2 linked regions of the Diceros bicornis minor genome follow. The protein of the gene in region 1 binds, or shares a complex with, the protein of each later gene. Links are inferred from orthologs where the notes say so. Each region holds a gene or a part of one and is shown on either strand. Other genes may lie near its edges.

Region 1 (7,244 bases):
TCTTCTAATCACTCCATCTTTCAGATAAGGAAATGGGCTCACACTGCCTTGCCCAAAGTCAGAGGCCCTAATGCTAACTTAGGTAGCTAAGCTGCCAAACCAGGGCTCTATCATCACATGCTGCACTGGGGTGGCTGGAGCTCTGCATGTTTTGGGGCAGCCAGTTCCTTGAGGCCTTCCACTGCAGGTGGGGCGGTTAGGTTGGCTAGACCCTCCAAGAGTTGAAGAAGCAACAGTTCAGGAGAGAATCTTGGAATATATCTTCTCGGTTTACTTAACGTTTTGTCAAATTACTAAGTAGAAGTGTGCATTAGTTTTTCACATTAACATCACAGACTATGTATACCAACTATGACACTATTCTGGGAGCTAAACAGATAACTACTGTACTAGAAAAAACCTAACACCCAATGCTGACAGAGCCATACTGTTAACCTGACTACAAAATAATAATTACCATTATTTTTCTTCCTTTGAATTCCAGAATAATACATGATCTTCCTACTTCTTGCCCAGCTCCACTGTAAACATTCAAGGGGAGAAACAGAAATGAGTACAAAACAATCAAAATCAAGGCCAATAAATTCAAACTTTTTTACAACTTAAATTATGCCCCATTTGATGACAGCACTTGAGGCCGATGAGAGTTATACAAAAATACAAAGACAGGGAAGAACATGTCAATGTGGGAAAAGATGAAAAGTGATCTTTGGGAGTTCAGGGATTTTTCAGTTGTTAAAACTGAGAGAAGATGGTACAGATCCGAGAAATCTGATGGTTAAATTCAATCTTCTGAATGTTAGGGTTAATTATGCTGTATTCAAAATATAAGTTAGCAGTGATACACGATTATTTAATAATACTTTTAGAATTAGCACTGAAGTATAAACCCATAAGCACTTCAAAATTCTTTCATTTTCTTTAATATCCTAATATGCATTTACCAAATAGCTTAAATTTAAATAGACTTATCTTATTCATACCTGTGAATCTCATTCCCTTTCCTTTCTACTTTCTGTTATTTCGTATATTTGATACCAAGCACTTAAACAATCTTCCTTCCTTCTTAAATTAATATAACAGCCTTAATTTCCAATTATCACAAGACTTTAAGCTAAACCTCACCTGGTTTTCAAATCTCTCACCTCCGTTGATGTCTTTCCCCAACTATTCTAGGTTGAGTCACTCACTCATGCAACATTAAGCAGCTTCTATTTGCCAAGCACTGTATTAAGTGCTGAGCATATGGAAATGCCTAATACTAGGATCCTGGCCTCAAGAAACTCACAGTCTACTAGGAGATAGACATGAAAAGAGATCTACCCTCAAACCGAGGTCCTACCTCTGAAGAAGATGTAAACAAAGAGAATCAAACAGCCATAGTGCTATCACGAATTCCTGGCCTTCCATTTTTTTTTTTTTAATTTTATTTATTTATTTCTTCCTCCCACGCCCCCAAAGCCCCAGTAGATAGTTGTATGTCATAGCTGCACATCCTTCTAGTTGCTGTATGTGGGACGTGGCCTCAGCATGGCCGGAGAAGCAGTGTGTCGGTGCGCGCCCGGGATCTGGACCCGGGCCGCCAGCAGCGGAGCGTGTGCACTTAACCGCTAAGCCACGGGGCCGGCCCATGGCCTTCCATTTTAACTGGCCCTCTATGCACCCTCTGAAGCGTCCCTAGCTCAGTTTTCTTTTATAGTTTCCATAGTAACGATTTCAAGCTTCCTCCCCTTTCCTAAATTTTCCAATCCTCTATCTTCTTCTTCACTTGGGGCATGGACCTTCTCTGCATCAAAAAAATATAGTTCGTTTGTCAACTTCCTCAACTTTACTTACCAACCCACCCACATCTTTTCTCCTTCCATTTCTCCTGTAACAAGAGCACAGACCTCTCTGTCTAAAGCTAATCTTTTCACCATGGTTCTACACTCTATACACTCCCTCCTGAGGAACTGAACACTGCCATATCATCAACATTTCCCTTGCCATCTTCTCTTTACTATCAGAATTTAAACATGCTACAGTCATTCTCATCCCCACATTAAAATCCCTTAATTCTAATCTCCTTTAGTTCCCACTTTATTCCATTTCCCAGTTTGCTTCCTAAAAGAGCTGTGTACACTCTTTGCCTCTATGTCCTCACCTCCACTCACTCAGTTCACTGCAATCTGGCTTTTCCCAAACACTCCTCCGCGCGCCCAGGATCCGAACCTGTGAACCCCGGGCTGCTGAAGTGGGGCGCAAGAACTTAACCGCTACGCCACCAGGCAGGCCCCCAAAGCAGCTCTTTGTTGCTAAGTACAAACAGCCTTTTTCAGTCCCTCTCTTACTTCTTCTCTTGGCCGCCTGTCACCCTCATTCATCATTCCCTCTTTAAGCACTTCTCCATTGGTTTCTCTGACTTCTTGCTCTCATCCTGTCCTGCTGGTCTTCCTCCAGTTTCCTTCACACTCAGCTGTCTCTGCCCACCCTTCAGATGTTGATATTCCAAAGGTTCTCTCCTTGGCCCTCTTCTCAGTCTTCGTGATCTTCATTCTCATGTTTTTGACATGCTGATGATTTCCAAGTCTGTATTTGTAGCCCTCATTGTTCTTCTGAATTCTAGACCTCTAATCTACACCTGGGCTTTAGGTATCTCTCCTGGGATATCTCACAGGCACCTTAACTTCAAATACGCCCAACCAATCCCCTGCACTTGCTCTTCTACCTTCCTGCAATGCTCTGCCCTCAGATACTGACATGATTGGCTCCTTTGTATCATTTGGGTCTCAGTCCAAATGTCACCTTCTCAGAGGCCTTCTCTTGACTACCTCCTCTCATTTGCCCTTCACACCATTCAATCATAACACAACTACATGGAGTTATTGTATCTACCTATTTATGGCTTGTTTTTCACTATTAAAACGAAAGCTCCATAAGAGCAGAGACACTGTCTATTTTGTTCACCCTACTTATAGCTACAGTGCCTGACATGCAGTAAATCTCAAGAAATACTTATTGAATGAGTAAAAAAGTCCAAATTATGAACGTTGGAAACATGCTAAGTGAAAGAAGCCAGTAACAGAAGGTTACATACTGTAACCCATTTATATGAAATGTCCACAACAGGCAGATCTGCAGAGATGGAAAGTAGATTAGTGGTTGCCTAGAGCTAGGGAAGGCGAGGAAGATAGGTGTGACTGCTAATGGGTACCGGGTTTCTTTTCAGAATGATGAAAATGTTCTGGAATTAGACAGTGGTAATGACTGTAAAACTCTGTGTATATATTAAAAACCACTGAATTGTACACTTTAAATGAGTAAGTTGTATGTGACATATCTTAATAAGGCTGTTAAAAACAACAAAACTCCCAAATTTCCTCCAGACTTGCCCCATCTCCTGTACTCCTTAAGGGAATAACATGACCACGTACCAGTTGCCTACCTAGGAATCCGAGTCACCCTAACATTCCTCTCTGCCCTGCCTTCCCTCCCAACTGCCCCTTCCAATGCATCTGATCAGTTACAAAGTTCTAAAGGTTTCACTTCCCTACTCTCTCAAACCTGTTTCTTTCTATTCCACTGTTGCTCATTTCACTCATTCCAAGCTCTCACTGCTTATTATTTCAATTTCATCCTACTGGATTCCCTCCACTTAATCCACCCTTTCATTCATCTGCTGCACTGCTGCTAGGAGTGATCTTTGATCTTCATAAAACATAATTCCCACTATATCCCAACCCTGCTTAAAATCCTTTGTTGGCTCCATACACCTGACGATAAAGGCCTCAAATCCTTAGTACATATAAAAAAAGCCCTTCATAAGATGGACCCTGATAGCCTCTCCACCTCATCTGCTAATCTTTCAGCCACAGCCATGAGGAAACTCGCCACAAACTGTGACCACTCTCATTTTCACACGTGCCACTTCCTCTACTGGAACATCCTTGCCCCCACACTTTACCCGTCCTTAATTCCTTCTCATTCTTTAGGACTCAGCTCACGCATCATATTTTCCAGGACGCATGAGATGGCATTTTCTTCTCCTCATTCTGTTAGAAATCCGTTTTTCACACTCTCACGGCACTCAGTGCAACGTCCATCTATACTCTTATAACAGTTACCATTTACTGAGCACCGACGTGACCTTTACCCCTCACAATAAACGTTGCTATATTATTTTCACGTGAGGAAACAGGTTCAGTGAGGCTGCTGTCCTAGTAAGTGATAGAGCTGGGACTGGACTTCAGCTCTGACTCCAAAGTCATGCTCTCCTACTATTCCAAACTCTCTCCAGTACTTTTCATTTTGCACCGCAATTCCATTCAAAGGGTGAATCCAACTAACTCAGCCTCTGTCCTACTTATATCCCCAGCGCCTAGTGTGGTGCTTGACACTTGCTGGGTGTTTGCTGAACACAGGGAGAGGTGACAGGTGTGAACTAAGCAGTGGGAAACTTGTGTTATGTCCCCAGGAGGTGCTCAATGAGTCCTTATTGAATGAACGTGTAAAGGAGATGCTTCCTACCTTTTGAAAATGCACATTCATGTGGTGCCAACTAATATTTAACAACAAACACGTTTGTGGATTCGAATTGCCCATGGAGAGGCTAAGTTCTCCACATTTATCTCCCTTTCTCAGCAGCATTCCAGATCTGTGAAGTGCTCCCGACAGAAGGCCATCTCCATGGAAAGACCAGCCTTCTTCCAGACAATCCAGGGCTGAGTTTTTGTCCTTACCACCTCTGCTCTTCTCTCCAACCTTCTACCTTCCTTATTCTGCTAGACTCCGAAGTCAGAACATCAAAACTCATAGCAAATCCCTAATTTATTTCCTCTCTCACATCCTGGCAAATGTAAAAAGTCCTGGAGGTAGCAAGCAACAGACTGAGTTCCTCCTCGCACTGCTACAGCCTTATCCAGGTCCTCATCTCGTCCTGCCGTCATCAGCAGCACCGGTTCCCTCAGGGCTGGCCACTCTCTAGGTACAGGCGTCCAGGGCCCCAAAGACCGCCCCCCAACTCCAACATTCTCTCCCCTGAGCTTGAAGAAAAGCAAAATCCCAGTCAACCTAGCACGCCCCTTCCGATCAACAGATCTCCAAACCCCGTCAGCCAGGCTGCGGACCAAGGGCAGGCGGCCGAGGCACGCCGGCGCGGGGGCGACTGAGGAGCCAACCACCGGGTTACTCCTCGCCTCTCGCAGCCCGCGGCTTGCTGCCCTCTCTCACTGGTCCCTTACAGGGGGCGGATCAGCAGCTGGTCACTCTCTTCAGCAGGGATCGCAGACATCTCGGAAGTCTGAAGGAGAGACTAGGCGAGGAACAGGTCGCTGGAGCGTTCCTAAATTGGAAGCACAGCCACCGGGACCCGCAGACAGAACGCCATCCACCAAGAACACAACTTCCGGCACTCCGGCGCCCGCGGCACTAGGCTCCTCCCCTCCACTTCCGGTCGGAGATCCCCGCTCGCGAGGTTCCGCCCCACAGGAGGTCAGAAACCTGGGGCGAGGTCAAGACTGCGCCTGCGTGACGTGCCGGAGGCGGGGCCTGGCGGTAGGGGCCAGGGGGCCCGGAAAAGCTGGCGCTGGACTAAGCACTGGAATGGCTGCTGCGACGGCTGCTGCTGGGGCGGTGGGTGTCTGACCCCGACCGCAGACGACCCCAGGGATGGGCCAGCGGCTGTGAGGTGAGAGCCCTGCCCTCGCTGCGCCCTGGCGGAGCCTGGCCGGGAACGCGGGCCCCGAGGGCGACGCCGGCGGGGAGGCCCGCGGTGGGGCGGATGGGTGGGGCCGCGGGGGCCGCGGTCTCCGCGGGGACCCGCCCTCCTCTGGTCGGGGACCCAGGCCCCGAGGCGGCTTGGGGTGGGCGGCGGGAGCCGAGAGTGGGCCCGGCCTGAGAGAGGAGGCAGTGCCCCGGTGCCGATTCCTGTCTGGGGTGGGACCGCAGCACCTGTGACGACGGATGTCGTGTGCGGAGCGGCCCCGTGGGAAGGGCGACGGGAATGGGGCATCCGCGGGGCTGCTGCCCGTGTCGGGCTCTGCCTTGTGGGGCGGTGAGGAGCGCTCACTTTTTGTGCCGGCTCCTGTTGGTTTTCCCTCCGCGTCCACCCCCATCCCTCACTGCAGAGGGCAGAGGTCATGTCTGTCCTGTTTACTGTCATCCTGCGCAGCAGCACGTGGGAGGCGCTCACAACAGTGAGGAATACGTGGGGAGCAGGGTGGGCTCTGGAAAGAGCTTTGGAGCTAGTCTGTGTAGGTTCCAGACTTGGTCCCACCCATTATTAGCTTGGAGACCTTGGGCGAGTCCCTTAATCTCGTAGCTTTGGCTTCCTTATTGAAAGGGGCTGTAATAGGGTAGCCTTGCCGGTCTGCAGTAGAAGGGTTAGAGGTGCACAGTAGAGCACCTACACTGGGCTGCACATGCAGCTGTTCAGTGCAGGGGAGTTGTTATTTTCGTGTCATCTCCCAAGAAGGTTCTCCAGTTCACTAAGCATGTCCTCTGCCAGACTGTGCCAGGCGTTGGGTACACAGAGATGAATAACCTTGCTGCTGCCTTTGACGAGCTCACAGTTCATAGAGTGAGATAGTCACAAGTAGACAATAGCAGACTTTCCAGTGTGTGCTATGATATGCTATGATCAGGGTGTATACCCAAGCTGTGGAGGACAGGTCCCTAAGCCCAACCTGGAGGTCCAAGGGGGGCGTTCTAGAAGAGAAGAAGCCTGAACTGAGTCTTGAAAGCAGAGTGAATGCAAGGTGGAAGGAGATTCCAGGCAGAGTGAACGGCGAGAGCAAAGCATGGCAGCATAGAGCATAGTGCCTGCTGAGAACCTCCAGCAGCTTGGCATTCCTTAGAGATTAATCAGGTGTGAAGCTGGTTGTGAGACTGGAGAGGTAGGTAGGAGCCGGGTCATGGAGGATCTTGTGTGTCCTGGTGAAGAGGTTTTGACTTCAGTCTCTAACTTTGGGGAGCCAGCGAAAGATTTTAAGCAGGTTGGCGGCGTCAGATTTGAGTTTTAAAGAAATCATTTTAGCTGGAGCTTGGTAGTAGATTTAAAGGGGCAAGGAGTCCAGTTGGGACATGAATGCCTTAAATTGCATGCCAGACTTTGTGCTTGTGTGCATTTTTATGGGTTGAGGATCCACTGCTTTCTTCAGATAATGAACAAGTATTTATATACAGCAATGGTCTAGTGATGATGCCGGGGCCCTGTTAGAGACGTGGGTGAGAGAACTCTTCAGGCGGTGTATTCAGTGAGTTTTGGT
Region 2 (7,243 bases), on another chromosome or scaffold:
TTATTTCAGCCATTCCCTGCAAAATGAGACATATACATTGAGACCAGTCATTACTCCATGCTTTCTGAAAGCCTTCTATAAGCAAGACGCTTTCAGGGAGTTACAAGTGGGTGGGAGAGGGAAGGATGGAGCACAAGATCACAGAAATTAATTACCCCTAGCTCGGACCTTCCAGAGGGCTAATTCACCGGCACTTTAACGTGAGGCAGGAAGCACAAAAAAGCAAATGGGGACTCTGAGGAGGGACAGGCTGCAGAGAAGAGGCGAGTGCCTCGGAGACGCTATTCTGAAAGGAAAAGCATAATTTAAGACACAGAAGGGGCCGGCCGGGTGGCGTAGCGGTTAAGTGCGCGCGCTCCGCTGCTGGCGGCCCAGGTTCGGATCCCGGGCGCGTACCGACGCACCGATTGGCAAGTCATGCTGTGGCGGCATCCCATATAAAGTGGAGGAAGATGGGCACGGATGTTAGCCCAGGGCCAGTCTTCCTCAGCAAAAAGAGGAGGACTGGCAGATGTTAGCTCAGGGCTGATCTTCCTCACCAAAAAAAAAAAAAAAAAAAAAAAAGACACAGAAGCAGGACTGCTCTTAATATGCAACATCAACACACAATTATTAAAGGAGCACAGTCTCTTGCTTACACAGATGCAGCCGGTTCAGGAGAGGGGTACAGGAGAATAAAAGCTGAACATGGTAGAAGTCAGTGGGCTCCAGGAGTAAGCTGTTCTAACGACACCAGAAATTCACCTGCCATGGCTACCAGAATAAACTGTCGTGGCTTCAAAAACAGTTTTCTCTATCAGCAGGCATTTTAGAATGGCTGAAAACCCACTGACAGCATCTCTGAAGGCCATTTACGTGCCTCTCCTTGCTAACTTGCACGAGATTCCTTGGCTTCTTAGAAGCAGGCAGATTTTGCTAGGACAGACTTAAGGTTGTAGAACTGGGAGTCATAACACTGTCATTCATTTGCATTTCAAAAAGTCTAAAAAGTCTTACACTAAAAAATGTATCACTTAAGAGTATTTCTGGGCCTTCGTTCTTTTCAGAGATTAAGGTTGCTTCATTACTTAAAGCCAGAAGTCTAGTGGTTTCAGGCGGACAGGATAAAAGAGCATGCCTTGAGGGCAGAACTGACAGCTCTTCCCAAAACTAAGACAGGAATGAAGTGCAGGGACAAGGGAGGAAGGGCTGTGGCCGCCCTGGGCTTTAACACAATGAACTCAATCTGAGGGCAGGCAGTGAGTGCTGAGGGCACCTACCAAGTCTGAGGTGGGAGGCTAGGGCCATGAGGCGGGAGGCTAGGGCCACACGCATGGCTAGGCTGTCCTTGACCCTCCCTAAGAATAGGTGTGTGGGCCCCTCGCCACTGTGCCTGCCCTCACAGACTCAAGTATCTGTGGTCCCAGGCTGAAAAAAGGTGGGAGGGAAAGAGCTGCCCTGCATGGACCTTCCATGGTCTCAAGCTAGTGCCACCAACACAGGAAAAGGCCACGTGTGCCCAAGTGGATGTACGTGTACAAGCATGAGGTGATCACATGCATCGAAGGGTAGATAAATAAGTGTGTATTTGAATTTGAGCAGTTCCTTATAAGACATGCACAGTGGAGATGGTGCTTGTGCACATATAAAATAAGGTTGTTTGAGGTATGTCTCTTGGGTATAAGCAACATCTCACACAGAAGTGTCAGCATGAGGGGGACACCTGAGGCCATGTGTGCAGAAGTGCACTTGAGGGGAATAAGGCTGCAGGGAGTCTCTACCAGACCAGGGACCGGTGGTTGAACACGGGCCAAAGTCCACTGGCAGCTATGTGAGACAGCACAGGGAACTGCAAACAGAACCAGTCAAGAACTCTGGAGAGCTTACCCAGCTCCCCAGGCACTGAGTGGTTTTCAGCCAGTCCCTTCCCCCACCCAGGCCTCAGTTGCCCCACCTGTGGATTGAACTCAGCGACTTCTAAGAGCCCTCTGAGCTTTAATGTTATAGCGTCAGACATCAACTGTATCCGCAAAGGTGAGAAGACAGGAAAACTGCTGGTTTCTTTTAAAGTCCTAGACATCCCACCTAAGTGAGGGCGTGGGGGAAGCAGGAGCCACCATGTGAAGGAGAATGGAGGGAGCCCAGGCAACTGCCCAGGTGTCATGAATGACCCAGAGTTGGGGTCCAGAGAAAAAGTGGGGATAGGCTCCCAGAAGTGCGAGTCCTAGGAGAGGAATGGAGCTTGAGAGTCTAACTGTGGGTCTCCGACAGAGAGGGAGAGGTGGTCCTTCCCTCAGCATGAGTCATCCAATATCCCAATTGGGATGAAAACAAGAGGAGGGCGCTCAAAGCTGGGGGGGGCTGGAGGTGGGAAAGGGGGCTATCTTAGTACTTTCCTGTAGTTAGGGGGAGGAGGGAGTAACTGCCAATCCGAGATAGCCGCCTTCATTCAAGAATTCTTTGAACAAGAGGACATGGTCCTGCTCTCCTTAAGATTGCCTTTTAAGAGCCCAGAGGATCGACGATCCGAGGAAACGGCTCTGGAGTCCGAGTGCAGGAAGAAGGGGATCCCAGGACCGGGGGGAAAGGACCCCCGGGACCGAAGGGGAAGAGCTCCCGAACCCGGGGGGAAGGCGTCCCGGAACCCAGAGAAGGGGATGCTGGGACCAAGAAGAAGGTCCCGAACCGAGGGGGAGGACATCCCGGAGCCCAGAGGACGGGCTCCTAGGACTGAGAGGGTCCCGGGACCGAGTCGGTCGCGCCCCTCGCCCGCCGGCCCCGGCCCCGGCCCCGGCCCCGCGCTCACTGTCCATGCCGGGAAAGGGCAGCGGCTGCGCCCCGAGCTGCTGCTCCACCGCGATCTCCAAGTCGAACTTGATGTGGTCCACGCTGGCGATGATTTCCTGCATGGCGGCGGCGGCGGCCCCACCGGCCCGGCTCCCCTTCAGGTCCCTCGCCGCGCTCACACCTCTGCCTTCCGCCGGCCCGGCCGCACACGCTCCGCCACCGCCTCCCCTCGCCTCGCCTCGCCGCCGCCGCCGCCGCCGCCGCCACCGCTGCCCGAGGGATGCCGGGAGCGCCTGGAGCCCGCGCCTGCCCGTCGCCCGTCCAGACCGGGCCAATCGAGCGCGGAGTACGGGCCGCTCCGCTAGGCCCGGCTAGCCGCCAGCCGAACGCCCGCCTGTCCTCTGGGCCGCGGGTAACCTGAAACCACGTGCACGGGGAGTTCGTGACGCGGGCTGCGCTTGCGCGAAGTCGCCTGGGGCGCGCACCAGAGGTGGCGGGGAAGGAGAGTAGGCTCTGCGGCGCGGCGAGGCTGGGACGCCACTGGGGGTGACGCGAGGCCGGGCGGGGAGCGAGGCGGTGCCGGGCGGGCGTGGGGCCGCGTTCACTGGGCCGGACTCTTCGAGCGAGTTGCTATTTGATCCGGAGCCCGGGACCTGGGCGGGGACAGGCCAGAGAGGTAGCGAGTTTCGCAGCCGGGGTCGGAGCCGGGGGCGCCCGGTGAGGAAACCAAGGCTCTGAAGGCCAGTGTGGACAGGGGTCCCGGTGGCCTGAGGGTCCGGGGAGCGTCGGCGGGCAGCGGGTACCCAGAGGAAGGACAGCGGCAGCGTGCCTCTAATTCAGGGGTTATTAGTCTGGGCAGGTTAATGAACTTGGGTAGGAAGAAAATGACACCTTTATTTTCTCTGTGTGAAATGGAGCATTGCTTTCCGTGACTGACGGACGAGTAGCGTTAGCTGTGCCCGAAATTAAGTCGTGATTTCAAGTGGGGACGAGTGCAAATGATAGTTGGAGACAGAGTATCTGCAGCCACTGCAAGCTGTCATTTACACTCAGCACTGCTTTGACATGATGGGGTCTTGTTATTTAATGCCTTGAAAAAGAAGCACGGGGCCCGCCCCCGTGGCTTAGCGGTTAAGTGGGTGCGCTCTGCTGCTGGCGGCCCGGGTTCGGACCTCGGGCTCGCATCGCCGCACCGCTTCTCCGGCCATGCTGAGGCGGTGTCCCACATACAGCAACTAGAAGGATGTGCAACTATGACGTACAACTATCTACTGGGGCTTTGGGGGAAAAATAAATAAATAAATAAGAAAAAGAAGCATGTATACTAGTATGCTATAAGTTTGTCTTTAAAACATTTTGATACTTATTTCAACATCATATTTGAATGAGGCACAGGGAGATCAAGTAATGGGCCCAGTCACAGCTCTGGCCAGGACTCAAACTCAGATCTGGCTTCAGTGACAGATGTCGTAGATCATGGCTTGAGAATAGTTTCTGTCCGTGGACTGCTTACTGTGCCAGCAGTGTACTGCACTGTGTATATCTGAGACCTCGTTCAGTCATTGCTACAGTGCTGTGTGGGCAACGTTGTAGTTAACCCCAGTTTACAGGCAAGGAGGCTGAGGCCAGAGCAGTGAGTGCCCAGGGACTCATGGATGGTTGTTTGGCAGAGCTGCAGTCTGAACCTAGGCTTTCTAATCTCGGTCTGGGCTTGTCACCACTTCTCTGTCTTCTTTCTGCTTTTTGTGACTGCGATCCTGAGTTGACTTCATTATTTTTTCTGACCTTTGTCAGGCCCTGGAGGGGAAAGCCAGAGATGGACCTCGTGAAACTTGCCCAGCTCTTCTCCCGCCCCCACCCCGTGGGACTGTCTCTCCTGCAACACCTTGACCCTCTCAGAGCCAGGTGGGCAGGAGGCAGGAAGAGGCCTGCATGGCTGAGGGCCGTGGGGCTGACTCGGCCAGCGCCAGCAGCCTTCAGCAGCTCCCTCTCTCAGCTGCCCGTGGGCCAGGGGAGCCAGAAGAACACGGGCAGCCTCAGCTCTGACCCCAGCCAGCCCAGCCCCACAGCCACCCAGGAGGAAGACGGGGAGGAAAGCTTTGGGACCCTCTCCGACAAATACTCCTCCCGGAGAATGTTCCGCAAATCGACGGCCCAGTTGTATAACCTGCGGCTCAGGGAACAGAGTGTTGAAGAAGACGAGGCAAGGGAGCTGGAGCCAAAATCATGGCGGGGCCGAAGAAACACCCCTTACTGGTACTTCTTTCAGTGCAAACACCTGATCAAGGAAGGGAAGGTGAGGGAACCTGTGGATTCTGCTGCTCCTGGCTCCTACTTGCCCATGGCTCGGTATTCTGTGAGGGGCCCTGCCTTCCCGATCTCTGAATGTTGGGGTGCTCAGGGCTCTTCTCTCCTCTGTCTTCACTCACCCCAGGTACTGCGCCGGGTGACCCGCCAGCCTCCTGGCTTTCAGTGCCAGCCTCCTCACTGCAGTTCTGGTATTTGTATCTCCAGCCTGGCCTTCCCGTGGACTCCTGATCTGTGTATCCAGCTACCTCCTCGCCATCTCTCTTACACCCACCTACATCCACCGAGATTGTTTTTCCCAACCTTGTTTTCCCTATACTTTCTTCATCTCACTGAATAGCAATCCCACTGTTGCATCTGCCCAGGCCAAATACCTTCAGGTCACCCCTACTCTTCTCTTTCTCTCACTGGCTCTAGCTTCAAAATGTCACCAGTCCTAACGCTTCTCATGACCCTACCCCAGAACACCCAGGCATAGCCTTCTCCTCGCCCTCCTCAGCTGTTACAACGCATGGCACTGGGCTCCCCGAGGCTCTCTCCTCCTCTTGCCCCGCCGTCAGCTGGCAGCACGGAGTCATCCTGTTAAAGCAGAAAGCAGATAATGTTACTCTTCTCTCCAGAACTCCCAGTGTATTCAGTGACATCGATGATGTTCACTTTCTTAGATATTGATAATGACATTCCGTTTCTATTTAAAAATCTCTTGGAGGTATGTGTTGAAGATTTTATGAATGAAATGATAGAATGTCTGGAATTTGCCTTAAAAAATACAGTTTGGGGGAGAGTGCAGGGTATAAATGAAACAAGATTGGCCAAACTTTATCATTGTACACTCTTCTTCACCATCTTATACTCTTCTTTCTACTTTTGTGTATGTTTAAAATTTTCCATAATGAAAAGTTGAGAAGTAAACAAAGAGAAGCCAAAGTCCTCACAATGGCTTATGAAGGCTGCAGGATCTGCCCTCCACACCCCTTATCTCTCTGCTCTCATCCCCTCTGCCTCACTTACTCTGCTGCAGCCACCTCAGCCTCCTCTCTGCTCCTCCAACTCCTAGGCACACTTCTGCCTCAGGGCCTTTGCACTGGCTGTTCCCTCAGATAGCCATATGGCTCCTTCCCTGGCCTCCTTCAGATCTTTGCTCATCTGTCAACTTCTGGGTGAGGCCCTGCTTGGCTGTCGTATCTAAAACTGAATCTCCCACACCCTTCTTCTGACACTTTTTGCTTTATTTTTTACATAGCACCTATCACCATTTGACATAGTATATATTTTTCTTAGTTATCTCATTTGGCGTCTGTCTTTCCACGCTAGAAGATGTACTCTATGAGGGAGCTCCCTCTTGCTCACTGCTGTATCCCCAGCATATAGACCTTGTCTGGTACCTAATAGGACTCAGTGATTACTGGTTGAATGAATGGATGAAATAAGATAATTAAGTGGTAAAGGAGTGAACTGAGGCTTTAAAGGGGATGGTGTAGGAGTAGGGATGGGGCAAAGACTACTGTGGGCCAAAGGGGTTTGCAATTGGAGGAAGCTAGTGACACAGGGCTGCCATCCTGTGCCATCTCAGGAGACTGTCGCTGTGATCGTGTCACAGCCCCCTGTGATCGTGCAGCACAGTGGCTCTGAGCATCCCTACTAAATGACTGGAACCCAGACTCCCATCAGTTCAGAGCCAGGGGGCTGGCACTGCAGGTGGGGTCACCGAGGAAGCAAGGGCAGGCAGATCCTGGGAGTCACAGAATTAACATTTTCTGAGGAGTTACTAAGTGCCAGGCCCTGGCTCCACTCGAGAGCCACAGAGATGCAAAGACATGGCCCCTGCTCTCAAGGAGTTCACTGTCCTGCTAGAGGGAAGGCAGCCGTGGCAGTAGGGCCGAGAGCTCCTCTAGGTGGTGGGTGTCCAGTGGGCTTTTCTTCCTGGCCACCACGAAGCTCCCTTGCTGCAGAGCACAGGGTGTTTGGCTCCTGGGTAGGCCTGGTCTTGGCCCCAGGGGAGGGTACCTCAGCCTCAGTCTCCCTCTCTTGGCTGAGGTTCTCTGAGGCCACCCTGAGCCCCCTCTTATGTTCCCCCCGCACAGCTGGCTGAGGCCCTGGACCTGTTTGAGAGGCAGATGCTGAAGGAAGAGCGACTCCAGCCCCTTGAGTGCAACTACACAGTGCTGAT

The links. The genes of interacting proteins can lie anywhere in the genome.
Region 2: CPSF3 (region 1) and CPSF4 share a complex: the UniProt entries of both Homo sapiens proteins name them as parts of the cleavage and polyadenylation specificity factor (CPSF) complex. The link is inferred for Diceros bicornis minor from reciprocal best matches to the Homo sapiens genes CPSF3 and CPSF4.

The regions. Positions count from the first base shown.
Region 1 is NC_080751.1:70,609,487-70,616,730, forward strand, and holds the start of CPSF3 (cleavage and polyadenylation specificity factor subunit 3), read right to left. Parts: upstream 3,018-7,244; 5' UTR 2,541-3,017; coding exon 2,470-2,540; intron 522-2,469; coding exon 458-521; intron 1-457. UniProt on the Homo sapiens protein: Component of the cleavage and polyadenylation specificity factor (CPSF) complex that plays a key role in pre-mRNA 3'-end formation, recognizing the AAUAAA signal sequence and interacting with poly(A) polymerase and other factors to bring about cleavage and poly(A) addition.
Region 2 is NC_080765.1:7,260,090-7,267,332, forward strand, and holds the start of CPSF4 (cleavage and polyadenylation specificity factor subunit 4), read right to left. Parts: upstream 3,005-7,243; 5' UTR 2,889-3,004; coding exon 2,786-2,888; intron 1-2,785. Other genes in the region: PTCD1 (pentatricopeptide repeat-containing protein 1, mitochondrial), read left to right, coding at 4,418-5,062, 7,158-7,243. UniProt on the Homo sapiens protein: Component of the cleavage and polyadenylation specificity factor (CPSF) complex that play a key role in pre-mRNA 3'-end formation, recognizing the AAUAAA signal sequence and interacting with poly(A) polymerase and other factors to bring about cleavage and poly(A) addition.